Coturnix japonica: one gene and its partners. The protein of the gene in region 2 purifies or fractionates together with the protein of the main gene of each other region. This does not show direct contact. Links are inferred from orthologs where the notes say so. Each region holds a gene or a part of one and is shown on either strand. Other genes may lie near its edges.

Region 1 (10,382 bases), on a different chromosome or scaffold from region 2:
GGATGATTAGTCTTTGTTCAGTTCTTGGAATCTAACAAAGTTCATTCATGAGTGTTTTTTGTGAAGGATGGAAGGCAGTGCTGGTTAGCCAACAGGCTAAGCCAGTTCAATTGTAATGATTAGCTGTGGCACTTTATGCTTCTGAAAAATTAACGTTGCTGTTTATGTGGTATAGATATGGCATAGACATATCCAGAGATAATGAGACTGAATGGTTAGTTCAGATGTATTATGAACCAGGCCAGCTATGCTAATAACTACTGAAACTGACATTTCACTTTGTAAGATCCAGTTACTGTTAACTTCATAAAATGTTAATCACGTGGGATGAAATCTCCCATGCTGGATGATGATATAATCCTTGCATTCTGAAAAGTGATGTTTTGATCAGCTTAAAAGAGATCTGAGATACTTCTTCAGGATGTCCCTCTAGCAGAGTAATTCTGTGACTACTGTTTGTGCAATCAGGCCTAATTAAGCAAAAGCAACACTGTTATGTTCCTTAATGGTAAACAGCACTGTACTGATAAGTGTAGCTGTTAATGGACATTGCCTGTGTAACAGAGACATTATTTACCAAACGGTTGCTTCCTACAAAACCAGGCAAGCACACTGTGCCATCTAGATAAAGTTCTCAACCTATATCCTGACAAACCAGCTTGTCTAGCGCTCCTTTATTGGCAGTTCCACTAAGAGAAGTTCATTTCAGAAGGAGCCCTGTCCTTCCTGAGATGCAGCACAGCAGGGCAATAGTTATTCATCTCTCAGAGAGGAGGCATCGTAGCTATGTCACGCTGAAGGATGTGTTGAAGAGACATCTGGGACACTACTGACACGACACGGTATCTTCCTACTAGTCAGCTGGTGTCTGATTTTTCTTTTGAAGGCTGTGAAAATATATCAAGAAAAAATACAGAGGAGGTTGTGGGGAAAAGTCTTTACTCTTGAAGAAAAAATGAGTCAGTTGCTTCCTCCTATACCGAGCTTACAGTTTGTCCCTTGTTTTCATTGTGAGTATTGTTTGTCTAGTCCAAGCCAAGTGCAAGGAAACTGGGTAATCCCTTTATCTAACATCTAATGGTTGGCAGCCCTACCTTTGGGTAAGGAGCTGCGATTTCTTAGAAAGAAGCCTTCCTATCCAAGATATGGCTTCATAAGACCTATCAAAATCTGAAATTTGTCCAAATTATGAGACTTTGTAGAATGGCATTTCATGAGTTTGATAGAGACATATGAGACATGTATCCCATGTTCAAATAAATCTCTCGTGCATGACTAGATTGTGTAGATGCCATTCAGAGAGAAATAGTAGGCATGAACCCAAACTACACTGTAGAAGATTCTTCCCTATAATTGCTTATGTTGTGTTTGGTAAGGAAGCTGAGCGCAGTCACTAATCTTTCAGTGATCCTCTCATCCCTTGCTGACATTTAATCAGCATGAAAGAAGAAACCATCTGATTTAAACAGAAAAAAAAAAATGGCAAGAGATTGGAGCAAGAAAATGAGGGAGGTTGAGATGGGAAGGGCAAGCTGGGTAAAGAGTTGGCAACCAGGAGGAGTGGGGGCTAATGAGGAAATTTAAGGCAGGGAACAGGAGAAGTTTAACTAAAGGGTATTTGGGAGCCTGCTTTACGTAATGGAAGAAGGAAGGACTCAGAGAATCATTCCAGAAATCTGAGTATTTCAACACTAGATTGACTAAATGTAGAATAGATATTATCATAAAAATATTGCTACAGTCTATTTTAATCCTGTTTCAGGTCTGAGTTAAGTCATGCCAGTTCATGCCCTATTTTACTCTAGTACAACACGTATCTGGGTTGAAACAGCTATTTCTGGGCGTAGGTAAGTATGTAGCTTGATGTCAAATTGGTGTTAAACCGGTCTGCTTTGAACTTATTTTTCTTCTTTCATTAATAATCCCAATATACTCAATAAACAAGAATTCTCTACCAGTGTTAACTCTGCAACTGGCACACACTCATACACCCCACCATTTTACAGGTGAAGAAAATCAGTCAGGTGAGTTGTGTGATTTGCTGTAGGGATGGCGGGCGCAATGAATCAGCCCATGAGCCAGGAATGTAAATTCAGGAGTTTCTGACCTCTTGCTTTTATTTTTCTTTTTCTAGAAATTCCAACTCTCGCTTCCTGCTGTATTTTTATCCAGATTCAGTACAAAGATAACAATCCTGCTTTTCTTGTTTAATGCGTTCATTGCTCCAACTGTTGATTGAAGTTATATGCAAGCTGCGATGAGCCAACAGTCCTCCCATCTTTAGAAGCAAATACAGCTTACTAGTCACTGTTGGTGAATACTTCTTATCTGTAAATTTGTTTTCTGTGTTGCTCAAAGCCAAGCTAAGAGTTGTTCTCTTTACTTTGTCTGCATCCCAGAGGGGGAAAAGAAGTAGAAAAACAGCACATTGGCGGCCAGAAAATTCTTAAAGTGAACAAAAGGACAGACTCATTGTTAGTATGCACACACGAGTGCATCACACTTACAGAAATGTGGAATGGGGGTGGGAACTGTAGGAACAAGAGACAAACATGAAAGGCGAGAGGATGAGAAGGCTGGACTTGCATGTTAATCAGAACTCTCATTTAACTGGGAATTTCCTATCTCTATAGTGCTCTTTTTTCCACAGTGCATTGAGGTTTTTTCTCCCTTTGACTTATGTGTTATTTCTTATCTGTTCCATTCTGTGCAAAAGCAGCACACAATTAGTTAATATCCTGATTTCTGGGCAGGTGCGATTCAGACAGCACGCTACCCAAAAAGTAATGCTGAAAAGAATCAGGGCAAAAGCTTCCGACATCCTTCTGCTGAAGGAAGAGCTTTGAGTTATTCTCAGAAAGCAGAACTATCGTGTTTTCAGGATGGCTCCTATTCTGCACAAATGTGATCCACTCATACCCGAGAAGTAAATGTCTTCTTGTATAAGAGGGATATTTCAAAGCTGAATGAAAAGGAAACAAACCAAATATCTATGGGGTGTCAAATGTCTGATGCAAATGACACTAAAAAAAGGTTTTACCTTTTTTTAAACACCATTCCATGATTTAATATTTTTCCTTCGCCCTTCCCAATGCTTGCACCTAAGAAGACCTAAATCTGTTGTTCTTCTTTTCTGGGTAGGCCACATCGCCTAAATCCCATCTTGCCCTACCCCACTGTGCATGAGGCCCACAGTAATCCTTGTAATAGAACAGACACCTGTTCCGATATTGTGTTCAACGAGAGACAGCCAGAAAGAACGGCTTTCTGCCCTAGGTCACCATTCTTAATTCATTTTATAAATGCATTATTTTACTTTTAAGTGCATATTCTCTCTTGCTTCATCCTTTATTTTTGAAAAAGGTGATTTACAGGCAGTAAGACGCATATTAAGATAAGGATGGAGAAAATCACACAATAAATGGGCTCAAATAAACATAATTCAGTGTAGGTCCACTTGTAACAACGTCTTGAATTCTTTCTGCAATTTTCTGCTTACAGTTTGGGTGGTCAGGGAGGTACATTCTGCAGATTCTGAGGAATACTGCTTCTTTTCCTTTGTGAAATACACTGAGCTTCTTCTTACTTTACTCTCCAGTTTATTTAATTGCACTTGGTAATCCTCTCAATATATACATACAGAGGCTCGTTGGATTTCCACACTCCTGCCTGAGCATTATCTGAGGGGCTTTTCAGGAAAAAAAAGAACAAAAATCAGTAAAAATACAGTCATAAAATATGTGCCCATTGAATAGAATGAGATCGACTGTGTGGAATACACCCACCTGGTCCTACCATAATCCCTTCTCTGTGTGCTAACAGATTGTTCCCAAGCCCTGATTATGTTGCTGACATTATGCTCATGGGGGAAATTCCTTCCCGACTCCAGATTTGGTGAATTTTTAACCCTGCTGATGTAAGCAAAGCACACTGTAGTTATCTAAGGCCCAATTTTCCAATCAGTTCTACATACAAATCTCCTGCTGAGGTAAACAGAATTGTACACGAGTAGATGAGAAAAAGATTGAGACCCTAATACGATTTCTGCTTTACAGCTAAACCTAAGAGATAACTTTAAGCCAGCACTGCTGAAAATAATAAAACCAGTCTCACCACCCTTTTCTCCATCATCAGCTACTTGTTTCTACCATCATCCGTACAGGCACAAGTATTCACACATGGGCACAGCCAAACCAATGCAATTAAAATTAGCCTAAAAGCAAAGGGTAGGTATATAACCTTCTTTCCAATATTCAACTACCATTAGTTTTAATGCATCTATACTTTTTGAGGAGGAAGGCTTCTAAATTTCAGTATAGTCTTCAGTTGCTTTATCACTATCACTAAAAGTCTGACCACAGAAAGGGAGATGTGTAATGTACCAACACTGCATGGTACCCAAGTAGTATATTGTGTTGGCATACATTTTTTGGTCTTCCTTTATGATGGAGGATGGAAAACAGATTTTGTTTTTATTTAACTTAGAAATGCAGCAGTGGTGCTTCATGTTGGCAGCAGAGAGCTGAAGATTAGGACTTCATGGTCCTATTGTTTTCTGTTCACTGGGCTCTCCAGCCAGACAAAAAAGGCATTATATATTGTGGTCTGCCCTCTCTGAGTTGTCTGGCTTTGTATTTCTCTTCCTGTCCCATCCCTGCACTGAATTCACCATTCGATTTTCTGTCTAGTTGAAATCTCTATGATCCAATTACTTAAGATGCCTGATTCCTGCTTCCCTTCACTCTCATAAGACCCTGACTACAGTTCTTTGGAGATCTTCATCCTCGCAGATTTATTTTGCCGTTTAGGGAGGCAGCTCTGTTGAAATTTAGTGGCTGCTCGCTGTTAGCTCTTGTTACTGTGCCTTTCAATTCCAGTCCCACGTGAAGATAAGCGAGGAGATGCAGAAGCCTCACGCTCACACTGGATCATACTCTGCATCAAACATCATCACAGAGTGTGACTGCACCAAATTTCAGAGTCTCAAAAATTGAGCAGCTCAGAAATAAGTGCCACATTTCAACAGGTCAGATCTGAGCGGAACCTGGTATGGTCAGCACCACGACACCGCACTGCTGTCCAGGTCTGCACGAAGAAATACAACGCGGAGCCGTTCCTGGTGATAAATAGCGAGAATCAGAACGGAGGACACTTCACTTCCTTGGATTTGCCGTGATGTTAATTGCTTCTGGCACCTGACCCCGGGCTCACCATAAGCCAAAGCCGACACAGCTCCGGGCAGACACACGACGTCCAACACACGACGTCCCACACACAATACACAGCCCCTCCCTCCTCCCCTCAGGTGCTCTCCCTCCACCTGCCGCCCCGCCCCCTCCTTTCCGGCCGCAGCTCCGCCAGCAGCGCCGCGCCTGCGCACTGTGCGGCTCGGAGCGGGGCTGCCGCTGCTGCCGGCCGGTGCCCGGAGCGAGGAGGCGGCGAGCGGGAGGGGGCGGGGTGTGGCCGGGCAGGGCCGGACACGGCCGGGCTGGGCTGGGCCACACGGGAGCGGCGGCGGCGCGGGCCCCAAGGGAGCGTGAGGCTCCATGAACTCGCGCAAAGGTACCGAGACGGGAAGCGGGGGGTGGGAGCGGGGGGCAGCGCGGCCACCCGGACAAACACCCTAACAACACCCTAACAACACCCTAACAACACCCTAACAACCTAACACCGGCATCGGTTGTTCTCCTCCCGGCAGTGCTGGCCCTGCAGGCCCGCAGGAGGCGGCCGAAGCAGCCCGCGGCGGCCGGTAGGAGGGACAAGCACCCGCCGCAACACAAAAAGTGAGTACGGAACAGTACGGAACGGGACGGGACGGGACGGAGCCTCCCTGCCCGCGGCTGCTCCCCGCCCCGTAACGTCCCGCCCGCTCCGCTCGGCTCCGCTCCCGGCTCCGGGCTCGACCCCCTCGCCCCGTGTGTCAGGCTGCGGGCGGCCCGCAGTGCCGGTACCGCGGGACCATCGCTGCCTGCGGGTGCGCCCTGCCCTGGAAATGGGGGCTCGGCATCTGCACACCTCGCACGGACTGGCGCTGGTCTATGTTTCCTGTCTCTCCTCTCCTGTCTCCGCCGAACCCTTTGCGTTCCTGTCATCCTCCACCTGCTCTCATTCTCTGATACGGCTTTTAGCGTGTGCTCGGGAACGCTCGCACATCTCCGTAGTGCTGCACTGCCCAGGTGCTGCTGCTCGTATCCCTGGTTGGTATCTGCTCCCCGTAGGATCGCACGCTTCTTTCTCTGGCTTTAACCGTACTTTGCGCAGCGAGGCCCTATTGGTGACCCAATGCGTGCGACCTCATCTCTTGGCTTTGCTTTTGTTTCACCTGTTTTGCTTCCCAGTGTTCATAGACCTCTCAGACCCGGGGAGCTGGCTGTGATGGGTGGGCATCTTTGGGATGGGTAAAACCCCAGTAGGATGGAATTCCATGACAGCGATCGTTGGTCTTTAACTGTTATCTTTCACATACATCCTGTTCTGCCAGTGCTTTTTTGTCCACTGGTGCTTTCATTTGTGTGAAGCTGGAATTGCTCCACTGGAATTAAACCTGGTGCACAGGAGGCACAGTGTAATGGGATTGGTTCCATTTCCCAACACCTTTCGGGGTGTCGGTTTGTAACATTACGTACACTTCTTTTGCCACTTAGAAGACACAAATATCTCCTACCTTATAGGAGCTGTAGGCTCAGGATTGCATTTGCAGCTTTTGGATGAGTCTTAACCACAAGATTATTAATTTCTGTTTTGGTTTGATGATTGCATTTAGTGCTCTTTTATTATTATTTTAAACCAGGGCTGCCTTGGGATGTCTTGCTGAATTAGTTTGTCACAAGTTTGCGTTCACAGCCACGTTGGAGAGCACGGAGCTGGCTCTCTTTTAGTCAGAAGAAACTGGCTGCTGCTTTGTCAGGGAGCACGGCCGGCTGCTGGACGGCTGCCATCCTGAGTCGGCAGTTCCAGATGCAGCGGCCCAGTCTGTTCAGTTGCCTTGGGAAACAGTGGTTTTGCTGTGGCAGACAGCGGAGCTGTTGCTTCTTTTTTGCTATGTTTTTCTTTTTTTGTTCTTCAGACTGCTCTTGTATTACCGAGACCTGCTCTGGTCTATGTTCCTTGGGAAATGTCTTGCGAGAATTCAAGTCTCCTACGCAAGTGAAACAGTTTAGGACCCCAAAGTAAAGTGAGAAGAAAAACGCTGACAGAAGTGTCAGGTTTGTTCAGTTCTTAGCCTTGCTTTAAATCCAACTGCTGGGGCACGTCCTGGTGTGCTGGAGCTGCAGTTGTCTGATACACACCAAAGGCACCGGAGCTGCAAATGAAAATGTTTTGGGGGTGGAAATTCTGTAACATCAGTTCCTAGCAGTGAATTACATAATAATGAATTACTCGGTTTCAAACCAAAAGCAGGGTTTTTTGTGGTTTATTTATTTATTTTATAACTGTCATTCTTAGGCATGCCCTTCTCTGTTGGGTTGTAGCTTTATAGAGCAACTTCCATTGTTGCTGGTAACAATGTGCTTCAAAGAAGCTGCAGGATTCCTCCTCTAGAACTGGCAAGGGGAGCTCCATCACATTGTAACTTACTTGCAGGCTTTTGTTTGGATGGTTTTAGGATGATGGCACAAGAAGAAGCAAAAATTGCAGTGCTCTTTGATGCTGAATGGCCTATTGTCTGTTATGACCTTGATTGCCTTGGAGGGCTGTGAAATCAGTCCTGGGGCTGCTCAGCATTGACCCTGAAGTCAGTGGTGAGAGCTGGTGGAGGTGAACCCAGATTGCTTTTGTAATAGAGTGGAAAAAGTGAGAGTAGAAGGTAAATGACTTAATATTTTGAAGAGAAATTTGTCTTGATTCAAGACGATATCTAAAACTATGCATAGTAATAGAAATTATAGATTAGAGACCTGGGGATTCACTGACCACCTGAAACTTAAGGAGAGCGAGCACTGAGTTCTGCATGTGGAATGGAGTATGTGGGTATCCTAAATGTACGTCCTATCCCAGGGTGGATACATTTAAGAAGTCTTCTCAATGTTGGTTTTAGTTGTTTATTCAAAATGTCACATTAGTAGGATTGCTGCTCTTGTCTCCTTTCTTGATAATCTTTTGCCTTCTTGCTAAGAACACTTTAATTGGAACTTAACCTTCCTGTTCCTATCAAATTTTCCATGATTAAGCCAACTGTACCACAGGGCTGCAGCTGTCTGTATATCATGGTTGCTTGTCCACTTATCATATGTAGGCCTTGGGTATTTAACATTGTGCTTTCTTAAAGAGAGCAGCATTCAGAAAGATCTGTCTGAAAGAAACAAAGTTGATTTTAGTTATCTAGATATAATGCTAACAATTTTTAATTTTTTTAAAGAATGGTTCCATAGATTGATTATAGAAACTTAAGATGTGACGTGTTTGAACTTGAGTAGCTGAGTCAATCTAATGTTCCTCTTTGTAATGTGATAATAAAACAGATACCAGACTTTTTGTGAAATCCGATGGAATCTAAAGTAGGTGTTGATGTAAAGTTGCACGTGTGTATTACTAAACTAAGTATGTTCATTCATTTTTGAACTCCTGATGTAACGTACAAAGAAAACATCACACATCTCTAGTAAATCTGATTTCTGAAATGGGAACGGCTCCAGAGTTCCTCATGTGTTGAAAAGATCCATTTGCAGAGTTGTGCATTAAAAGTAGTTATCGTCATATAAGCCTCAGCACATCCGTTATCTTACAGATGTCAAGATTCGTGCCTTTTTGAATAAGCAATGACTGCACAACATGAGACTTTAATCTCATTTGTCATAATTATATTTGATGAAATAACATTTCTATTGAATAAAAAGAGTGTAGTTCAGCACAAAGCTATTAAACAAGAATGCCTTAGTTGGGAAGGGAAATTGACTGGATTTTCTGTTTTGGATTGTATTCAGATGAGTGGTTAGGGTGTAATTTCATAACAGAGGACAGGGCCGCTCCTTCTGTAGCTCGTTTTTGTTTTGTTTAACTTTTACTTACTGTATATAGAGTAGGATGGTAATAAATTTTATGGCGAGTCCTGGATGTGGATTTTGAAATAGAACGTCTTCCTTTTTTTATTATGATGAATACAGCCTGAAAGTTATTGGTTTCTATTTTTAACCTGAAGTTTGGAGATATATGGCAATTTTTAGTGCACAAATGAGAATGTCACATTGTATCATAAGTTTAATTTGGTTTGACAAAAATATTATGGTAGTGCACTGTTTAGTTTTGGATAACCTAAATTCTTTCCTTTGTGTTAGCGTGCGAGAATTCACTCCTTATGCTTGGCTTCTTGATGGTGTCCTAAATATCCTGTTCGGCCATTTTAACAATTTATTGTGTGGGGAGGGGAGAAGGGGTTGGAGGATGCACAAACTATTCTTTCTGGTAGCCACAGATTATCTTGGCATAGGACATAAGTAAAACTTGGAAAGAAACATGTTCTCACAGCTGTGCTAAATATGCAGCTCTTTTGTTGCTGTCGTACAGTATGATGTTTCTCAGTTCAAGTTAGTATTCAATCTCAGGCATTTTCTGCAATAGAAACTGTTGCAGAAGTATGTGTGTCTAGCAAAGCTAGATATTCCATTAAAGCAGAAATGAAAACACTGAATGAAATCATTGCATCAGATCCAATGATTTCAGTTTCCTCACTTAGAGGAGAAGTGCTGGTCCTGCTGAGGAGGTATCTGCGTTATTAATTTATTCTTTAGGATTTTGTATTTAAAGGTGATTTTTGTTCTAAGTTTCATTTATGTTTTTCAAGGGTTGCTGTCTTCAGTGTTGTGTTTTCAGAGAGCAAGCTAGAAGCAGTCTTAACTAATGAACCATGGGGCAGCAGCGCAGACTACATAGGCTGCTTGTAACCATACCTGTACTTGGAGTGTATTCACTGCATGCTGGGCTATTTGCCTTTGTAAAGTCTGCAGTAAAAGAGTAAATCTGTATAAGAGTAAATCTGTTGAAAACTGTTCTTCTTTGGTCTCTGGCCGTCATTGCCTAAGAGGAGGACAGTGTGCTGTAAAACTTACGTAGCTTCCTTTTCCTGCTCCTCCTTGAAAGTGAATATGCTACTAGAATTTAAAATCATCTGCTGTATGGAGTTTGTATGTGTACACAAACACGTGTACAAAATAATGTGTGTGAAACTTTAAAACTCTTCTAGTCCTTCTTTGAAGGAAGCCTGGGTCAAGGTATGGATGAGGAAGACTAGGTAGTTGGTGTCAGGGAGTTAGAAAAGTTTAATGCTTCCTCAAATGCTTGTTATGCTTAGACAAAATCATCGCTGTGACAACTAAGTTGTTTTTATTAGGAGCATCATCCATCAGATAGTTTCTGTGCACATAGGTTCTGTTGGCTGACCCAAG
Region 2 (9,691 bases):
GAAATAGTATGTCAGGTGAGGTCATCGATACCTATTGTGGTGGATGCTGAAAACCAGAAATAGCTGCCCACTCCATTAATCAGAGTGTTTCAAGGCAATTTTTCAGTGCCAGCTACATAACTTATTTGCTTTTTCCAAAATAAAAATTGTAAGTATTGATTAAAACAGAGTAAAAAATAATTGATAATGAGGGAGCGTATTTTGAAGTGCCAAGGAGAAAAAAGCATCTTCAGGAGTTGCCCTATTTTATTTTTCTTTTAGATTAGACAGTTTTGAATGTTAGTGGTTGGTTTCCTCTCTTACTTTACAGATCCTTCCACCAATAGCACAGTGTCTGATAAGTGAGATATCGAAGCCTAGCAAAGGTCATTTTGCACACAGCCTCATGTTATTGAAGAGCACTTCCTCTCTATGCTGTGCTCAGAAAGATGCAGTGCTGTCAGACTGAAACCAGTGCATTAAAACAGACCATAAAATGCAGTAAGAACTTCTTAGAGTCACTCATTTGTAGTATGCGTAACAGAAATTACTAAAACCATCAGATTTTCAGCATTTTATACTTCTCTTTTTTGCAGAAGGTTACATAAATGAATGTTTTTTCATTTAAACCAGTTATTTTTTGATGTCTACCTCCATACAGTCCTTGAAATGTCTCTTTTGCTTGACCCTATCAAGTATATTATTTTCTTGTAGAACAGATAGCAACTTTTATACTGTTATGTCACTTCTGCTTAATTTGTAGTCCACATTTCCTTTGGTTTTGCAAGTTTTTCAGACTGAGTTCTGCATTTTAATCACAGGTCGGATTGACTAAAGCCTGGTGGCCACTCACTGGCTGGCACCATCAGTAAAGTGACTTTTGAGGAATCAACAATTCATGTACCTCCTGCTTTGTGGAGGATTTCTGTTAGAGCTCTGCTTGTCAAGTGTGAAAAGTGGCCTTGTTGAACATGATGTCACTGCTCTTTTGCAGATGTTCAGTCACATGGTGAAGCAGGGTGTGCAGTGACACTGCTTTGCAGATCCTGGGAGCTGCCAAGTCCCTGCTAGGCAATATTGCTATAGGGGAACAAGCTTGTGCTGGAGATGCCAGCTCAATCTGAGAGCTGTTAGACTGAGCTGGCTTCTGTTAAATTCAGATTGAACAAATGCATTTCAAGGTATTTGAGGAGTAGCTTCAGCTTTCATCCTTTTTTAAAGGAAGTTAAGTTTGTACTTTGCATTGTTTTACTTCGCTTTTAATAAAATTTAATCACCAAAATGCATTCAAGTAGTTAGGATCAAAAAGAAATAAACATACTGCAGCCAATAGATTCCAAGTCCTTTTGCAGATGTAACTCAACTTGTGCACTCAGCTGCAGGTAGTCACTCTTCCCCAGTTCTCTGTCACGCTATTATGGTGACAGAGCAAATGGGATGAAATAAATACCAAATACAAATGTGTCATAAGTGTCCTATGCAGGTAAAGTCTGCTTCACGAGGAGATATTGGTCTTCTGTTGATCAGTTTAAATATGAAAGCACTGATGACATTGGAATTTGCTTTTGTATCACTGCTCCTGGATGGCTGGAACTCTTTTAACATGCAGACTGAAAGCAAGCAGAGCATCTGTGTGCACGTAAGGGCAGCTTATTCCAAGGGCTCCTGTGTTGGTGCTTCTCTTCTAAGGGTCAGTAAATTGTCACAAATGACTAAAAGAAGATTTCTTCACCCTTACAACTTTTGTATGCATTTGGTTTGGCCTCTGCAGGCTTGCATGATTTATGAATAAAGCCATTGTCTGCAGGAGAGAATGGTTTAGACTCAACAGATTTATAATAGGAACAGAAATGAAGCCAGTTTTCACTACAGAAAAACAGATTGTGTATTTAAAAACAAAACGCAGTGTGTTTTTGAAGAGGAAAAGCGGAAGGTCCCAAAGTGTGTCTTCTGTGAATGGCTTTGGCTGTCCTAATTTAGTATTAAATTCAACTTTTTTAGTGTTAGTTTTCTGTTTGTGAGCTAGAAATTTTAAAAAGGAAAAAAAAGGGGGGGGGGGGGGGGCACTTCAAAGGTAATTCCTCATAACATTCATTGCCTGCGGTTCTTTTGCCTGTATTTCTGTATTTACGTTAGCCTAGGTTTTCCTGGATAATTTCCATGTATGTGTAATGCACATTGAGAGGAGTCCTTTCTGTTCCTTTCAGCTGAGGTCCGGACAAATCAGTCAGCTGCTCCCTTGTTCACTGTCTAGGAGAGGTGCAAAAATATGCAGTCTATAGAACTAATAATGTTTGTATTAGGAACAAGCATAGGAAGTTCCTACTTTGTTGAGGAGCCACTGTTGGTTATCCCAGAGCTCTGAAATCTTCATCCAGTGGCTCCTAATCTGAACTTCTCCATTGAGATGTCCTACTGCATGCAGGCCTTTCATGACAGCTTGCTTCGTAATGATTAGATTTTCCTAGAGCTCTACGGGGTGGTTTCAGGATATATAACTAAAGAAAAGCTGCTGTTTTCATAGATGTCATTAGGAATAGTCCTTTCTCGCACAGTTCTAAATGACTGAAATTCAGAGGAAGCTGCTGCTCAATTCCCTTGGGGAAGTTCAGAAATTAGTTTCAGCTGGATGATTTTTCAGTTTTTCAAAGCAGTAATTTATCATCTGGAAATAGGAATAAATCTTTCATTTCAGAGTTGAAATGATACCCTCTGGTCGGTGTGTTTCAGTCTAAATGAAGCTTCTTTTTCTACAAGTAACATGCTGAAAAATGGAGTGCAAGTCATAAAATAGTCTTACTTTGTGTGTGATCACTGGGCAAAACCACAGTGTGAGTGTATGCGTGATGGGTTACACAGAGCCTTTGGTTTGCCAATTAGTTCTGCAAAGCTTAATGGCTTTTTGTATTTAAAACTGTGGGTGGGTTATAGGGAATGGATGCTGACGGTGCTTTAGGATAGTCGTAGTTGGCTTGTAGAAGTTCAGTATAAAAGCCATTCTGATGGAGAGACTTTGGTGTTTCAATCTTATTCAGCATTGAAAGCAATAGCTCAGAGTTGTCACATTTAGTTAAGTCTCTGTCTTATTATTACAGAGCAGGATAACTGGGCTTAAAAATTAGTTTTGTGCTTGTGGGACTGCAGTGGTTTGTTTTTTCTCCCAAAGCCTATTGATATTGTCGCCTAACAGAAGTAAAAGCAACCTACTGTAGAAGGAATGAACCCTGTGCACTCACATACTCTTTCAGTGACCTTTGAGGCCATTTTGCTGTTGGCATCCAGAGTAGCTTAAAGTTGTTGCTTACGTTCGATTATCAAACTTAGTTTTTTTTTGAGTAGACCGTTATTTTAAGGCAGTAAAAGTGCAGATGGTATGTGTATATTTCTGCTTTTCTATCATTAAAAGAGTGCTCTGAAGTGTTATCAGAATGCATGTCAATATATGCTCTTATGACCTTTTTTCTGCGTTTGTGTTTTTTTAGAATACACAGATGATAACGCTCTGATTCCCAAGAATTCATCTGTAATTGTTAGAAGAATCCCTATTGGTGGAGTTAAGGCTACAAGCAAAACATATGTTATGTAAGTATACGTAAAGCACTCTATTCTTTGTGAGATGTTTCTTCACTTTTTGGATTGGCATGAGTTCCTAAAGGCATTCATATTGTATATTTATTTTTAAAGCTGCCATTATTTTTATCTTTGTATTGGGGTGGATTTTTATGCCTGCCAGCAGCAGCGACTTTTGAGGTGGTTCTGTTGGCTTTGTTCTTGGGGCCAATTTTCTGAGACCAAAGACTTTAGATCCCGTTTCCTCTACATGAGGAGATTCCTTATTATATACATTACTCTATTTGACTTTGTGGTAGATCAAAATTTACACTACTATGCCTATTTGTATGTTATTCCCATCTCAGCAGTCTGCTTCTCAGTGTGAAACCTTACTTGCCACATCACTAAGACAAAAATGCAAGATTCTTATGGCCCAAACCTGGTATTTTTGCATGCTAGCAATATAGGATGGAGCAAGGGTTACCAGTTGGTGAGCCATGCAAGTGAGACATGTCATGCATAACTGATTAGATTCCTTAAGACAATAATTGTCTCAAGCAAGTGAAAAAGAACAATACCCTTAAGTTTCTTGCTTTTTGTGTGAGTACCATGGAGGAATAGCTACAGCTTTCCTGACTTTAAACTTGGCAAGTGTGTTAGCATGCTGCCAAATGTTACTATTTAGCTTTCTGATTTTACCTTAATTAAGCTGGTATCTGTGCTCCAGGTTTTCGTCTTAGTATTCTTGGAGAACAGAGAATCACATGTATTTATTATAATTAGACTATGGGATTGTTGCTGTCATTTATTTATTCACAGAATCCAGTTCTGCGTCAGCTGCTAGCATTGTTTGAATGACCCAGTTTTCTGGCCTTCTCAAAGATACCTCTCCAATACAATCAGTAGCTGTTAGTAACTTGTGGTTTTACCTCATCTTTTTAACATTGATTCTCAGCAGATAAAGTTTACTGATGAGTTACAGTTTGTCTTTTCCAAACGCTGCAACAGTACCTTGGTACCCATGAAGCATTTGCAAGCAAAAAGGTTGAATTTACGTGGCCCTGCACATGAACTTCAGTATATTACTGCCATAGTTATTTTTAGCCCTTTCAGACTCTACCTAGTAATTCTGGACCGTATAGCACAGTGCTATAAGTATCACCTTGTCTTGTTGATGCATCCTCCATCTCTGGTTGGATGGCACCCCCTCCTGGTATCATAATGCTGCTCTAAAACTAGTGGACAGATGCAGCTAGTATCAATGATCTAATAAATATATTTATGTGGGGATAAAGGAAGAATTGTGCTGCTGTTTTAATGTTGAAAATTAACCAGGTAGATTAGCTTTCTATTCCTTCACCTGGAAACTCTGCAGAAACAAGTGGCAGAGTGGCTAAGTCTTGGGAATTATGAGCACATGCTCTAATGGCGGAGAGGCCTTTGTAAATGTTTTATTCTTCACGGAGTTTGTTCTTCAAGGTAAACACATAAAGAAACTTCTGCATGGTAATCTATAGTATTTCCATATACCTCCTCATCTTCGGGGTTTGCAGTATCAGCCCCGTGGTTTCCTAGCAGTGGCAGGGAACACAAGCCTGTCCCTGCATATGTCAGTTCCACAGCAGCCTTTAAATCGCTGCTGCTTATGGGACAAGTTCCAATGTTTGAACTGTTTGTGAATTCTGTCAGGGGCTGTGTGTCAGATTCAGGAGCAGTGTGTGGAATCTCAGCAAGTTGTCAAACATAAGAAATATTTCCTAAAGTATTGTAGAATTTTCAAGATTATTTTTAAAGCAAATTCTGGCAATTAAGACCGTTTTTTTTGTCACAGGACTCCTAAATCGCACAAAATCGTAGAAACTCCTTTCAGGTGACATTTCTACTACTATTTTCAGTCAATATAGCATAGATAACAAGTTCTAATATTTTGGCAATTTCATAGCTGAATATAGCAGATATCTGAACACAGTGCTTGGGCTTCCACAAACAAACACTGTTCTAAAGACTCCAAAGCAGAGATTTTTGTTATTGTCAGATGACTGACTATGAAATTACTTTTTGTTCACTTGAGTATATTTGCACTTCAGAGTATCTGGACTGTAAGTTCTCTTTTTCTATCAGCCCACTCATTGTAACGCTGGGGATATACAGATTGGCTAAAGCCGGCTTCATGCTTAGAATGTTATTGAAGAACACAAAGCCATAGTACAGATGTCATGTTTTTTTGCTGCTTACATAGCAGAGACAAAATGCTTGAGGATTTCTGCTTGCGTTGTTATATATCTGTAAATATATCAGATATATCTGTAAGTCTTAAAATCATATTTAACAGAGTAGAAATGTGGTTTTTTTTCATTGTACTGAATGTACAGAGGGAGAAGAGTTTGTTTAAATGTCTAATTTCACTGGACTTTCAGAATGTGATTTTTCAATGCTCAGGTTGTATAATCTCTTTGTACAAGTGCTTTTCCTTAAATTCTGATCACCTCTATTTCTTCTTCTAGAAGTCGAACTGAACCAGTGAGTGGAACATCAAAAGCAGTATGTAAAAACACAATCTCACACTTTCTTTTTCTACACACTGCACTTAATTATAAACCATGTAGTCTTACATTAATTTTCCAATTATTAACTTAATATCTTTTCAATCAAAACATAGTCTATGTTGTAAATACAATGTATTTGATTCAGAGTAGTAAAAACTGAGTAATGATATCATTTGCACAGTTCTAATGTGAATCTTGGTATTTGTGCCTAGTAATGCATTGTATTTCATATTGAACGTGCTAGAATATTCCCTGTATGACTTTTTGTTGTACAGATACTGTATGATCGTTTTAGATCGTGTAGGTTTGAGGTTTGCACAATTGAACATGGTGCCATGTTCTACATCTGTCTGTCTATAGCTAGTGATATGTATGTTTGTATAGGTTGTTGTGTGCTTTTTGTTCCTTGCAATAAAAATGTTTGGAGTGTATTTTTTTGCCATTTTCACATTGTATCACTTAGTTTTTGTTTTTAAATACCTTTTTTTGCCTAATGGTTTTTGAAAATGTTATCAAAAACCACTGAGAAACCATTATTGTTAAACTGGGTATTGTTTCTTACTTTTGACCTGGGGGTTCAAACAAATACCAAAACCAACATATCCCGTGCATTTTCTGAGGACGTTTCTGTGCAGCTAAATAATTCCTTTTCAAGTCCTTAAACACTTGAGTGTTTGCTCCTCAAACTGTAATTGAAGTGATATTGTTTGGGCCCCTCTGAGTACACGAATGTCTTGAAAAATCAACTTGAATTTGAGTATCATTGAATATCATTGCTACAAAGTGGTATTCTAAAGCTCTGCATTCGGACTTTTCACTTTATCTAATGAAACAGTTGAATAGTTTAAGTGAAAATGTCTAAAACGTGGTATACAAACTTCAGCACAAGGATAGAGCCTGGTGCGTTTGTGGCTAAAGTCTGTGTCAGCTTTCTGAACTTTCCTTCGTAGTGTATTTTTGAATCTGGGTGACCTCAGGGTTGGATGCTGCTTTAATTTCCCAAAGGTTAAGCCTCTCTTTAGTATACCACCATTTTGGATTTACATTTGGAAAAGGGGAAGTGTTTTTTGTCAGGCTTGAAAACACACTGTTACTCTGTTGCTAAAATATAGATAAGTACACAAGGAAATACTTGATTGGGAATGACCTAAATATTGATTTGCCACTTGGGTCAAATATTATGTATTATTCTGAATTTCAATATAGTCCGTACAGTATTAAAATTATTGTTTGGTGGTTTTTATTTTTCATCTTTAAGTATAACTGCTTTTTCTTCACCAGAATGGTGTGAGGCATTACACTAACCCTGGATCATTGGATCTGATCACTTTGAGTTGTTAGGATAACATAACATAGAAATCCATAAACCCAGTGTCTGTGTTCTATCAAGAATACAGCCTCTGGTTCTCACGGAATGGTTCACAATCAACTTCAGATCAAAACCTTTTTGTATGTAGGCCTAAAAAGACTTTAAGTCTGAATCTGACATCTGTAATTCAATCCCTGATTGGTTTGAATTCCTTTTGTGACATAAATACCTCTCATTATGAGTTCAAGTTAGCTTAACTGGGCCAGTGACCCTAGTAGTTAATGTAATGCATTTGCGTAAACCACGTTTAAGTATTTGATCTAATTCAGATGGCTTTTTATTTCTTGGTAACAGTTATTTTTCTTTTTGTTTACTAGCATGTGTATAAACACAAACCACATGTTCATAAATAAAGTTAACCTTCTTTTAGCCTTGTGTGTTCCCTGGCATGTCTGTATTGCATTCTTAAGTAGCATCTTATCATAAGCTAACGTAGATATCTCAAAAAAAGAAAAAAGGGTATCTGGAGTGTGTTGGGGGGGGATTAGTGTTAGTTAGGACTAATTAAAGTAAATGGAAGACAAAGCAAAAACCTTTCCCTCTTGTTTGCTCTGACTGCGCCCGGTTTGGGCTGTGGATGGGCATAGAGAGAGTGGAAACTCCCTGCATGTATATATATATATGTATATGCAGATATAAAAATAAAAGATTACTTTAAAATCACTGCATTGTCAGGGGCTTCTAGAGTTGGAAGCCCAGTGAGATTCGCTTCTAAAGGCAGCTCAGATCTTTGTCTAATGAGTATTTTCTTTTTATTTGAAGTAAATACAGAAACAAACAACCCAGGATGCACAAAAGCTTGAAGCATATTTTTTTCATTGTTTCTCTTTCATGATAGCTGTCCTGCTTCAAAATGTGTGTTGTTACGTTGTTAATACAGCTGAATCAAGGCAGTAGGTTATTTTGTTCTAGCATTAGCATTTCAGGAACTGCCAGAATCACTGTTTGGCGTTTATCCTTAGAGGCTGCAGAAATGCACAGTTCTGTCCTGTATTTTAGGGCCATGAAATACAGCTGCAATTCTTCCTTGCTGAATTTGCAGTTCATCTAAGTTTTGAGGTTTTAGACAACAGCTGTAGCTTAGCTCTAGCGTTCCAGCAGCAAGATTAGCCTTTTCCCTGTTTTCTGTCCCCTTTTCTCTCTGTTACCTTTTGTTTAGTCTTCTGTAGGAATTGAGAGTTAATGCATCTGACTGGTAACTCTGTAGGTTTCCCCCCCCCCCCTAGTTCTCCTGCAGTAGCACCTTAAGGCTGTGCACAGCATTCCTGGAGGTGTTTCTGCTTGACTCATTGGATGGCCTGGCAGGAATTAGTTTAGCCAAAATATAATGGGGGGAAAAAAAAATAGACAAGAGTGCAGGATCTTTGGAAGGATGGCCATTGGGCAAATGCACTGCATTATCTGCTTGCTGCTTTTGGTAGAATGGAGTATTGTTACCTCCTTAGGAAATCAAACTGTTGCCTGCAGGCCATGTATTGCGCCTTCCCAATGAAGTACAAGAACCGATGAATATTTTGTTTGTTCCTTATCAGTACCAGACTGTTCAATGTATCATCACATTTCTAGGCTTCATTTGGTAGTGTCCTTAACTTTTAATTTGCCCCTGAAAAACCACCAAATGATAGTGGCCAAGTTGTGCCTCCCATGAAACAACATAGGTCTCTCTTTCTTTCAATTTTAATGGAGTAGCACATGGAGTGTCATGCTTCTCAATGCTCAGTCTGACATCCTTTTTAACCTAATTGCATTTTCTGAAAAGAAAATGTCATTAACTAAAACCTGTGTGAGTGTTCATCTCCAGATAGGTATTTTCTTCCCCACAATCTGCTCAAGTTGTTGCCTTGGATCTTTCCTCTCTGTTAGGCAATAAGGTTTATTTTTCAAGGAAGGGTTGTTTATCACTTTTCTGATCAGTTCAGAGATCTCTCAAGGTCTGTTCAGTTCACATGCTGAAATTTTTTTCTACTCTTCTGAACTTACTATGTTTTAAGTCTAATTTTGAGCGTCTTTCTGGTAGTGCTTTACTAGTGTAAGCCTGCTGCTGCTTGTGACGTGATTCAAAAGCCAGATAAGGGTGCTTTCCAGTAGTGGGAAAACTATGCTTTGGTTCTCAGTAGTCTCAGTTCTCTGTGGACCATTATTAAGTGGCCTTAAGACCTCATTCCTGTAGGTTGATCCTGTATGCTGGAAGGGAGAAAAGTAGTTGTGACCGTGAAAAATACTGTTACGCTCTTTTCATTATTAC
Region 3 (9,691 bases), on a different chromosome or scaffold from region 2:
AGTAACATCTCTGGGGTAACTCACTGAGCCACCATTTCCCTTCTGATAATTCCTTTAGTCAGCATTAATGTATTTTAAAATCGATTGTAGTTAAACAACAGAAGTGCAAGTAGTTCTGCAACAGCTAAATTAACTGGAATTGGTTTGTCTTTACCTGAAATCCATTTCATTGAGTTCATGCAAGCAAAATCCTCCTTGATGTTCTTTTTTTTTTTCCTTCTGAATAAGTTTTTGCTAGGTGGAAGCTTGGGAAAGAATGCCTTATGCATTCTTAATGTTTTTCATTACTTAGTATACTAACCTAATTTCAGTAGCTAATGGCTAAGTGAAGGGAGTTCATTGACTTAACCGTTGTACCTCTCTAAAATACAGGAATGCAATCAGCTGAGCTCATCCAAGTCAAATGTCACAATTAAAGTAGATAAGCCAATGTGCAGTAATTTGTACCCGTTACTCGTCATCTGGCGTTGCAAATGAAGTTACCCACTAAAAGCAGACTTAACTCGTTTGAGCGTTACTATCGTATTTATTTTCTTTGTGTTTAGATCTCAGCAAAGTAATTTATTAATCTTTTAAAGAAGTCTTGATTTGAGGAAGGTCAGTAAGTAATTCAGGATCTTGAAAGCCTGCTTTGTACTTCCCACATAGAATTTAAAGTGGTGATGGAGTTACAGGAAGAGGAAGAAAACTATGGGTATAAATGTCTTGTATGCTTCCGAGTATGTGTGAAATTGTTGAATGTTAGATAGGAGCTAATAGAAAGTTGCAGGAAGGAGGTCTGGTTAAGATGGAATAGTTGTTACTATGTTTTCTGTGCTAGTTTCTCATTTTTAATCTGAAAATATTGTTATTTTTTGTGCAAAATATTATGTGGTTTACTAGGCTCTCACTAGTTAAAGCTGTTGGAGTGAGCATATGTGCTAATGTGGTCTTAAAATGGATTTTTGGTTTGGAAATAGAATCAATGGGAGGGGAAAAAAAGGATGTAAAAAAATGTGGCAGTTATTTCAATAGTTCAGTTTAGGCTTAATACTCTTGGGAAAAGCGCTTTCAGAAAGTTACTCAGGAATTTTTTCAGTACCCATGAGCTGGTTTACTGTGTGGAGCTGTGGGGCCTGGACAGCATGGCCTGTGAGGAAGTGAGTACTTAAAAAAATGAGTTTTCTGGGCATTGTATAGTGTAGGTGAAGGTCCTCTGAGAGTCAGAAAATACCAACAACTTGTATAAAGCATTCCTCTTCACCACTTATACCTCGAAGTAAGAGCGTGGAAAAGTGCTGTCGTTTTAGGTAAGATTTCATAGTTGAATATTATATTTTTCAGTGGACGACAGATGAAGACTTAACTGAAGCGGTTCATTCATTAGGGGTAAATGATATTTTGGAGATAAAGTTTTTTGAAAACCGTGCTAATGGCCAATCTAAAGGGTAAGATCTCTTCTGCTTTTTCTGTAAGTCGACTGAAGTTTAGGAGGGTCTAAGTGGGGAAAGAGTTCCAATTATTCTGTCAGTATGTGAACTTATGGCCTCTGTTTATCAATATCCAACAATGATTGGGTATATTAATTCATGCTAATTAAATTCCAGGCATAAATTTTATGGGAATATTACTTCATACTTCTTAATGAGTTAAATTTTATTGGCATTTACACTGGAACAGGTTGTTGAAGGAGGCTGTGGATGCCCCATCCCTGGAGGCATTCAAGGCCAGGCTGGATGTGGCTCTGGGCAGCCTGGTCTGGGACCCTGCACATAGCAGGGGGTTGAAATGAGTTGATCATTGTGGTCTTTTTCAACCCAGGCCATTCTATGATTCTGTGATATATGTGAAGACTCTATTCCTAAGTTTCAGTTAGTGTTGTGGTGATGTATGTTGTTCATAATATAAATTTTTCCTATCCTATCCCTGTTATTGAATGATTTTAAATGCTTGTTTTTCCATTAACTGCTGAAAGCAAGCACTTGAGCTGGTTCCTTGCTGACAGTCTAATCTTCCTAACATAATTTTGTCTTCATCTCTCATCATTACTAATGAGAGTAGCCACGAGAACACATTGAATTCTTAATAACAACTTGGTTATAATAATCAATAGATAGCATATTGATGCTGTGTCAGAAAGCTACCTTTGTTACACTGCTGCATCTTGGACTTACATTGTGGTTTTTCATCTGTGTCCTAGAGTGAATTACTTTATCTATCTCTAAAAGAAAAGATCTCTAAGATTTGTGGAAGATTCTGTATTTTCTTTTCAAGCATTCTTTTGCTCACTGTGTTAAGTGTTTATTCATGAGGCATCAGGATATCCAGGAAACAAAAAAACTGCAGTGTAACTGTTTTTTTTTCTTCCTTTCAGGTTTGCCCTTGTGGGTGTGGGATCGGAAGCATCCTCCAAAAAGTTGATGGATTTGTTGCCTAAAAGAGAACTGCATGGGCAGAATCCTGTTGTGACTCCTTGTAATAAACAATTTCTGAGTCAGTTTGAAATGCAGTCAAGGAAAAGTAAGTCTCTCTCTTGTGCCATCTTGGAAAGATTGGAAGTTTATTCCGGAAGTTGTCCTGCAGTTCTTCTCTCAGTATCTGATAATTTCTGCACAGTTAAAGATTTCTATATAAGTATTAAGTGAATGAAGTTGCAGCTTTGTTTTAAAAAAATTAAGTAGAAGATCCCCTTAAAAACTGAAAACAAAACAGTTAATTCAATGTGTTTTTATGTCTGTGGTTTTAATAGGAGAAATTGCTGGAAGTGCTTATTATGCAGCTTTGTAAGACTCTTCTTAAGATTGGAGAAGTAGAGGTGCAGCATTTGTAGGCAGATTAGACTAACTTAATGGACTGAGTTTCTACACTTCCATTCTTGTGGTGTGGGGATACTGAAATGCTGCTGAATCTTAGCAAAGTGTTTTTTCCTTTGTGGTACTGGGGATCAAGGTGATGCTTTAGTGCTACATAAAACTTTAGAAGAATTGAAAAGCTTTAAACTATTTTGATTTACATAATGACATTTTTCCACTGCAGCCACACAGTCTGGCCAGATGTCTGGGGAAGGTAAAGCTGGTCCTCCAGGAGGAAGCTCAAGAGCAGCATTTCCACCTAGTAATAGAGGGCGAGGCCGTTTCCCAGGTGCCATTCCAGGTGGAGACAGATTCCCTGGACCAGCAGGGCCAGGAGGGCCACCACCACCGTTCCCAGGTAAAATACTGAATGTGGAGGGTTTCAGTTTAATTTTTATTTTCTTTTATTAATGCAGTATGCTTATTTGGGAATTACAAAAATTAAGGTCAGTAAGCAGGCACATAGAATTACCAAAAACTTGAAGTGGTTGGTTCTGTTTTCAGGTTAATGTTCTCTTTCAGTATAGATAACCAGTTATAAATATATCTAAGATACTGGACCCAAAAGTGGAGCTCTGCATGTGTTGTGCAAGATGTGAATTGTTCAGTGAAGGCTTTTTGTCTGAGGAAAAAAAAAAAAAAAAAAGGACAAGATCTTAATTATTTTTGTGACTCTTTTATTTCTTCATGTTTATTAACTTTTTATTTATTTATTTTTTTGTAGCTGGACAAACTCCCCCACGTCCACCCTTAGGCCCTCCTGGTCCACCAGGCCCACCAGGCCCCCCACCTCCTGGTCAGGTCCTCCCACCTCCTTTAGCTGGACCTCCTAATCGTGGTGACCGCCCACCACCACCAGTTCTGTTTCCAGGACAGCCTTTTGGTCAGCCTCCTCTTGGGCCACTTCCTCCAGGCCCTCCACCTCCAGTTCCAGGCTATGGGCCGCCACCGGGTCCGCCACCACCTCAGCAGGGTCCACCTCCACCTCCGGGTCCATTTCCCCCTCGTCCACCCGGCCCTCTCGGGCCACCCCTGACTCTCGCTCCTCCTCCACATCTCCCCGGGCCACCTCCAGGTGCTCCACCTCCTGCACCACATGTGAACCCAGCTTTCTTCCCCCCACCTGCCAATAGTGGCATACCTACTTCAGACAGCCGTGGCCCACCTCCAACAGATCCATATGGCCGACCTCCACCATATGACAGAGGTGACTATGGGCCACCTGGAAGGTGAGTATTTTTGGTGTTATATGCCGTATGGCAGACTTTATTCCTTGTAGGAAACACAGGATTTTTTAAAAACTTTTTAATGCAAATGTTAGAAAAAGTAAACAAGGGGGAAAAAGCAAAACAAAACAGCAAAGCTGGAGGGGATCCCTGCAATCATGAGATTTGCCCGTTCGCTTCTTAGTGAATGAACTCATAAGTGTGTTTGTAGCAGTAAGAAAACCTTAAAATGCATTGCTAGTAATCTTGCTTTCCCTTTTCGGCTTTGAACTGTTTGTGTACATTGTTCACAGTATCATCATTCTGTGTGTTCTACATGCTAACTTATATCACTTCCTGCCAGTAGCTTCTGGTTGTGCTGCTGTCATAACTTGAAATTCTCACTTGTCCCTTTGCCATCTTGCTTTGCAAGCTGTCATTGTAAAATGCTCTGGTGTTCTCTTTGAATATGTGCATGTGTTGAGGATGGTGCCACACCAAGCTCATGTCATTTTCATCTTCTAGCAGTTCGGCTTGTTCCTTTTTTCTTAAGGGTTCAATTAAAAGTTAGCTTTTGTCTCAAAAGCTGAGTGGGAATTTATTGCAAGACTTTTGTTTTGCTTTCCTGTTAAGCTACTTGTAATTTTGTACAGTCTTTCTGTGTTTGTAGCAGTGGCCTTTTCTGTAGTTAATCCAGTCTGGGTCGGGGTTTTTGAGTCCCTCTGACTTGACTAGTGAAGCGTTTCACATCTTGTTTGAAACAGCTTTTGCATTTGTGCTTTCAAGCATCTGTCATGCCGCTGTTGTCTTCATTTTCAACATACTTTCACCATTCCTTAGAACTTTTGGGGTCTAATTTTAAGAGAGATACCTTCTACGCAGTTACGTGTGAATTTTTCATTTGTGATTTTACTGATATTGTTGAGAGAGTCTTCTCTTGCCTAAAGTGTTTCCTGCAAAGGCACTTTGATTCTTCCTTTTACATGTGAGCACAAAGTTGAAAAAAACCCCAACAATTGTACATACTGTGTTCCTATAGAAGTTGTAGAAATTCAAGCATTTGGCTTAATTGCCTGAGATATAATAAGGTGCTTTGTGTTTTTTGATGGACAAAATCTAAGTTGTCTGCAGTTTACAGAATGGCTGGGGAGGGAAGGAATGGGGATAGGACAGAATAACTTCTGTCCACTATTTTCAATAAAAATGTTAAGACTATCATCCATAACTATTTAAATTGTCATTAATTATATATCATAGGCGTTTCACTGGAAATAACATGTCCATAAGAGAAAAATTACATATTCCATTCTATGGGAGGCACACGAAAAATAATACTCAAAACTCAGGGAGGTATGAATTTTTAGACATTTCCTCTTATGCTAAACTGGCTATAGGATCTTGTTCCACTTCTTGCACTTAAGAGGATAGTATTGCTTGTTATTCTGCGTTTTCTTTCTACCAGAGGAACTAACACTGTTTTAGAAATATCAAGCAGTGGGTCAATTTGACAGTCTCAGCTTTTGTCTCTAATGCATTTCTTCAGATATTCTATATGATTCAGAGACTGGCTAATAAAACACTGCAAAACTTGTGGGTAATTTTTTGTATGAGTAAATTTTGTTACTTTAGAATCAATGTATAGGATAGCTAATAGTCAGAGTTAAAAAGTATAGTGAGTGCAAGTATTCATTTTAATTGCTTCCTCCTTACTGTGATTGGGAGATGAAATTGGTGCACCTTGAACTTGACCAGAAACAAAACCTAGAATTAACTGTAAAATGTTGGTGTCATTCAGAAAATTGAGTGTTTTAATGATGACAGACTTTATTTGCTTTTTAAAAATTACAGCCCTCTGGTCTTAGTTAAGAATCTGGGAAACAGGATCATATAGTTCTATTTCCAAGACTGTCTTAAGGAGATTTCTAATTTTGCTGAAAGTTGCATTACCCGTGTATGTGTATCTCTGCATCCATTCAGCTGGTGTAATGTCTGCTTAGATACCTTGAAGGATTTTATGAAAATGTTAAATATTTGTAAAGCACGGTTTAAGTGCTGCTGAATCTTCAAACTAGATTGGTAGAACAAGAAAAACTACTCATTTAGCAGATGTGATAATTTTTTTTTTAACTTATTATTTTCAAGCTTTCAGGATTTTATACTGTAACATGGTCCTTAACACAAACCCAGATCCTGCTTTCTTTTCTGTTTGTCATTTTGCTTAAAGTTGCAAACTTGGATTGTTAAAATTGCAATGATATTCTGTTAAGGTTTTCTTAACCTTGTAAATACTAATTTTTCTTGCTTACAGAGAGATGGATGCTGCAAGGACACCTCTAAGTGAAGCAGAATTTGAAGAAATCATGAACAGAAATAGGGCAATCTCGAGCAGTGCCATTTCAAGAGCTGTATCAGATGCCAGTGCTGGTTAGTAAAACTTGCTTTCTATTCTGCCTAAGCAAAAAGAGTTTCTAGTTATTGTGTTAGGAAACCTGCAGCCTTCATGCCACTTCCTTCTAGAATGCTGAATTTAGGTACGACCTATGACTCTTTTTGTACTGTAACCCAGCTGACGTTTGGGAATGCCTTCTGAGTACTGATCTGGGCAGTGTTATAATGTTTAGTCCTCTAGTAAATGATTTGGGAGGCTATTGAAAGAAAGCATTCCGAATTGTATTATTATTACAGATAAAAACCTTTGTATTAATTGGCATAATTTTCTCGTGATTTTATATTGTTTTCAGGGGACTATGGAAGTGCTATAGAGACCCTGGTAACTGCAATTTCCTTAATTAAACAGTCCAAAGTATCTGCTGATGATCGTTGTAAAGTACTTATTAGCTCTCTTCAAGACTGCCTTCATGGAATCGAATCCAAGTCCTATGGTTCTGGATCCAGGTAAAACTTTCCTCTTCCATTTGCCCTTCTGTGAAAGGGAAGGTGTGGGGCAAGACAAGTGTACAGAGGAGGAGCTAAGTCATGTGAGAACCTTAGTGATTTGCTCAGCTGCACAAGAAGTTTGTGAGAGAAACAAATATAACTTTTGAGTCTAAATAATCTGTTAATTGACTCTTGTTTTTAAAGTGGATCCAGCTAGCTTTTTAACTTATTGTAGTTTGTGTTCTTTTCTATATGGTAGTATTGCAAAAAAATGAACTTCAGAATTGAATTATCTTCATCAATTCAGATGTCATATGTCTGGTATACTATATACAACATATAATTTTAATCACTATTTTCTATTGAAAATTAAGTCAGAGGTTATTTATTATCAGTTTCATTTTGCTTCATAGTAACTTTCTCCTCACCTGTCACACTTGGCAAGGGAAAGAGGATGGCCGGAATGATTTTTCCTCTTATTCCTTCTCATGCAGTCAAAAAACTGAGAATAGGTTTAAAATGCACAGTCTTCTACTTACTGATTATTTACAGCCCTTTCAGAGTTGCAACAGCCACTGAACCTCTAACTTCTGATTTATTTGGATATTGTAGGAGTAGAGTAGCTGATGCTGAGTAATAAAAACACAGGTAGCTAACCTTGGCCCACACTTTCAGAAAGCCAATGAGCAGCCATGTTGTAGGGATCATTTGAGGCACAGTACATTGTCCAGCTGATCTTAGCTGTCTTCCATTCTGAATGTGTAATTTCTGACTTCTCCCTGGTTTGAAAGTAGGTGGCATCTTAATATCTGTTAGCTGTTCTTAGCCACCACCCCAGCCATCTTCCATGTTATACAAAAAATGTCTCTGCACTGTGATGCAGAGCAATTTTTTTCATGTCTGAGGAGATATTTCTCTCATGTCTTTTTTTGGTCCAGTTCATACCAATCAACAGCATACAAAACTGGCGTGTGGGTGGCTTGTGTTTTGGGGAGGGAAAAAAATAAAAGTAATGAAGTAATTTTCTTTAGAAGACGTGAACGATCCAGGGAGAGGGACCACAGTAGGTCACGAGAAAAAAGTAGACGCCATAAATCACGTAGCAGAGATCGTCACGATGACTATTATCGGGAAAGAAGCCGAGAAAGAGAGAGACATCGTGATCGTGATAGAGATCGTGACCGAGAACGAGACAGAGAGAGAGAATATCGCCATCGCTAAAGAAGGTGAGCGTTTGTTTTTTGTTTACTGTTACTGAGTAACTGAAGTTACTGCTCTAGATTTGGGATTGTTTACTCAATGAATGCTTGCATTTCAATGGCCCTGCAGTATATAATAAATTACTTTCTTCTTTTAGCATCTGAAATGAACTTAGGTAAGTAATGACAGGTAACTGGCCTTGGGAGGGAGAATTGATGTGATTTCTTCTGCAGCTGGCGTGCCTTTTTAATTTTAGATGGTAGTAATGTTTGCAATTTTTGTCAAGTGCAGTTGAATTAATTCTTAACGAGCAGTAAGCCAGGCTGGTAATTCTGCTCTCTTATAATCCTAAAAGGTTTGTGTTTGTGTTTTTCATTTGTATTATAAAAGAAAAAAAAGTCTACTGCAGCAATTAGACCCTTGTATATCATGTAAGTATTACTTCAATGTAGGGAACACAAGTACATGGTGGTGCTGTCCTTACACAGGTAGATATTTTTTTGTTTGTTTCAGTAAGTATTACTCAAATTCAGGAAATGTAGCTGGGTTTTGGACCTTATTGTAAAAAATGTGGCCTCTCACTTTTTTCTGTCTGCTAGCTAAATTTAGGTGTTATTGCCAATAAGATTTATGGTCAGCTTCTCTTCATCACCCTGCTTTGTCATTTCCTCCCTCCTCTGAACAGTAAACTCATTTTCTGAAGACTAGTAAATGAGTGTGTGATGCGAGGATTGGTTCTTATTATTCACATACTAAAATGTTATTTCATTTCATGTATCTACAGTCTTGCATGCATCAAATGTCTCAACAGCTACCAAGTAACAGGTTAAATAATGCTTTCTTTAGTGTGCTGCTAAAAGCTTTAAAATTTATGTGAACATTCACCTTTAATGTACTGTGTTGAGGACTGGTAATCCGAGCTGCTCACGATTCCTTATATTTGGCAATTAGGGGGAAAGAAGAACCCTATGTATTATTTTTGCTGCAAAAGTCTTTTCCATTTTTAGAAGAATTTCCCACTCCACCTACACTCAAATTGAGACCCAGCAGACTTTGCCTGTCTGCCCAGCTTCCATTTCTTATGTCTTCTCTCAGGTTTAGTTTCCAGATTTTCTTGTGATGTTTATTCATGTGAGCTAATTTGCAGAAGTTAAACAGAGCAAAACTCATTAGAAATCCTGTAAACTGTAATTTACTCCTAAGTGGAAGCATTCCTATAATTTTACATTATTTGAATGTCTTATTTTACATACTAGGCTTTTGTGTCACCAAGAGAACCAATTCAATTCTGTAGTCTACTAATTATTAAGTGGCGTGCTGGGTTATTTGTTTGGACTAGATGATCTTAGGGGTCTTTTCCAACCTTGATGATGTTATATTCTAGAAAAGCAGTAATGTGCCTTGAGATGGAGAGTCAAAGGCTTAAGTAGAGAAGAGAAATGTGGCAACTGAAATAAAGTTGGCTGTAGTATCTATCTGTTAATGCCACTTTTTGTCATCAAAAACGGATTGGTAGAAATCATTCTGGAGTTGCATAAAAATAGCAACTGTGGTTTTTAATTGTGAAATGTCAAAGCT

The links.
Region 1: the proteins of RBBP6 (region 2) and SRPK2 purify together in Homo sapiens (affinity purification with mass spectrometry; 4 studies listed by BioGRID and IntAct, with this or other methods). This does not show direct contact. The link is inferred for Coturnix japonica from reciprocal best matches to the Homo sapiens genes RBBP6 and SRPK2.
Region 3: the proteins of RBBP6 (region 2) and CPSF6 purify together in Homo sapiens (affinity purification with mass spectrometry; 3 studies listed by BioGRID and IntAct, with this or other methods). This does not show direct contact. The link is inferred for Coturnix japonica from reciprocal best matches to the Homo sapiens genes RBBP6 and CPSF6.

The regions. Positions count from the first base shown.
Region 1 is NC_029516.1:12,547,184-12,557,565, reverse strand, and holds the start of SRPK2 (SRSF protein kinase 2), read left to right. Parts: upstream 1-5,436; 5' UTR 5,437-5,546; coding exon 5,547-5,562; intron 5,563-5,698; coding exon 5,699-5,783; intron 5,784-6,322; exon of another isoform or gene 6,323-6,630; intron 6,631-10,382. UniProt on the Homo sapiens protein: Serine/arginine-rich protein-specific kinase which specifically phosphorylates its substrates at serine residues located in regions rich in arginine/serine dipeptides, known as RS domains and is involved in the phosphorylation of SR splicing factors and the regulation of splicing.
Region 2 is NC_029529.1:6,697,326-6,707,016, forward strand, and holds part of RBBP6 (E3 ubiquitin-protein ligase RBBP6), read left to right. Parts: intron 1-3,461; coding exon 3,462-3,561; intron 3,562-6,035; coding exon 6,036-6,072; intron 6,073-9,691. UniProt on the Homo sapiens protein: E3 ubiquitin-protein ligase which promotes ubiquitination of YBX1, leading to its degradation by the proteasome.
Region 3 is NC_029516.1:32,111,966-32,121,656, forward strand, and holds part of CPSF6 (cleavage and polyadenylation specificity factor subunit 6), read left to right. Parts: intron 1-1,323; coding exon 1,324-1,427; intron 1,428-2,353; coding exon 2,354-2,499; intron 2,500-3,015; coding exon 3,016-3,189; intron 3,190-3,555; coding exon 3,556-4,060; intron 4,061-5,293; coding exon 5,294-5,386; intron 5,387-6,344; coding exon 6,345-6,460; intron 6,461-6,777; coding exon 6,778-6,931; intron 6,932-7,944; coding exon 7,945-8,134; 3' UTR 8,135-8,139; exon of another isoform or gene 8,140-8,141; intron 8,142-8,270; exon of another isoform or gene 8,271-9,691. UniProt on the Homo sapiens protein: Component of the cleavage factor Im (CFIm) complex that functions as an activator of the pre-mRNA 3'-end cleavage and polyadenylation processing required for the maturation of pre-mRNA into functional mRNAs.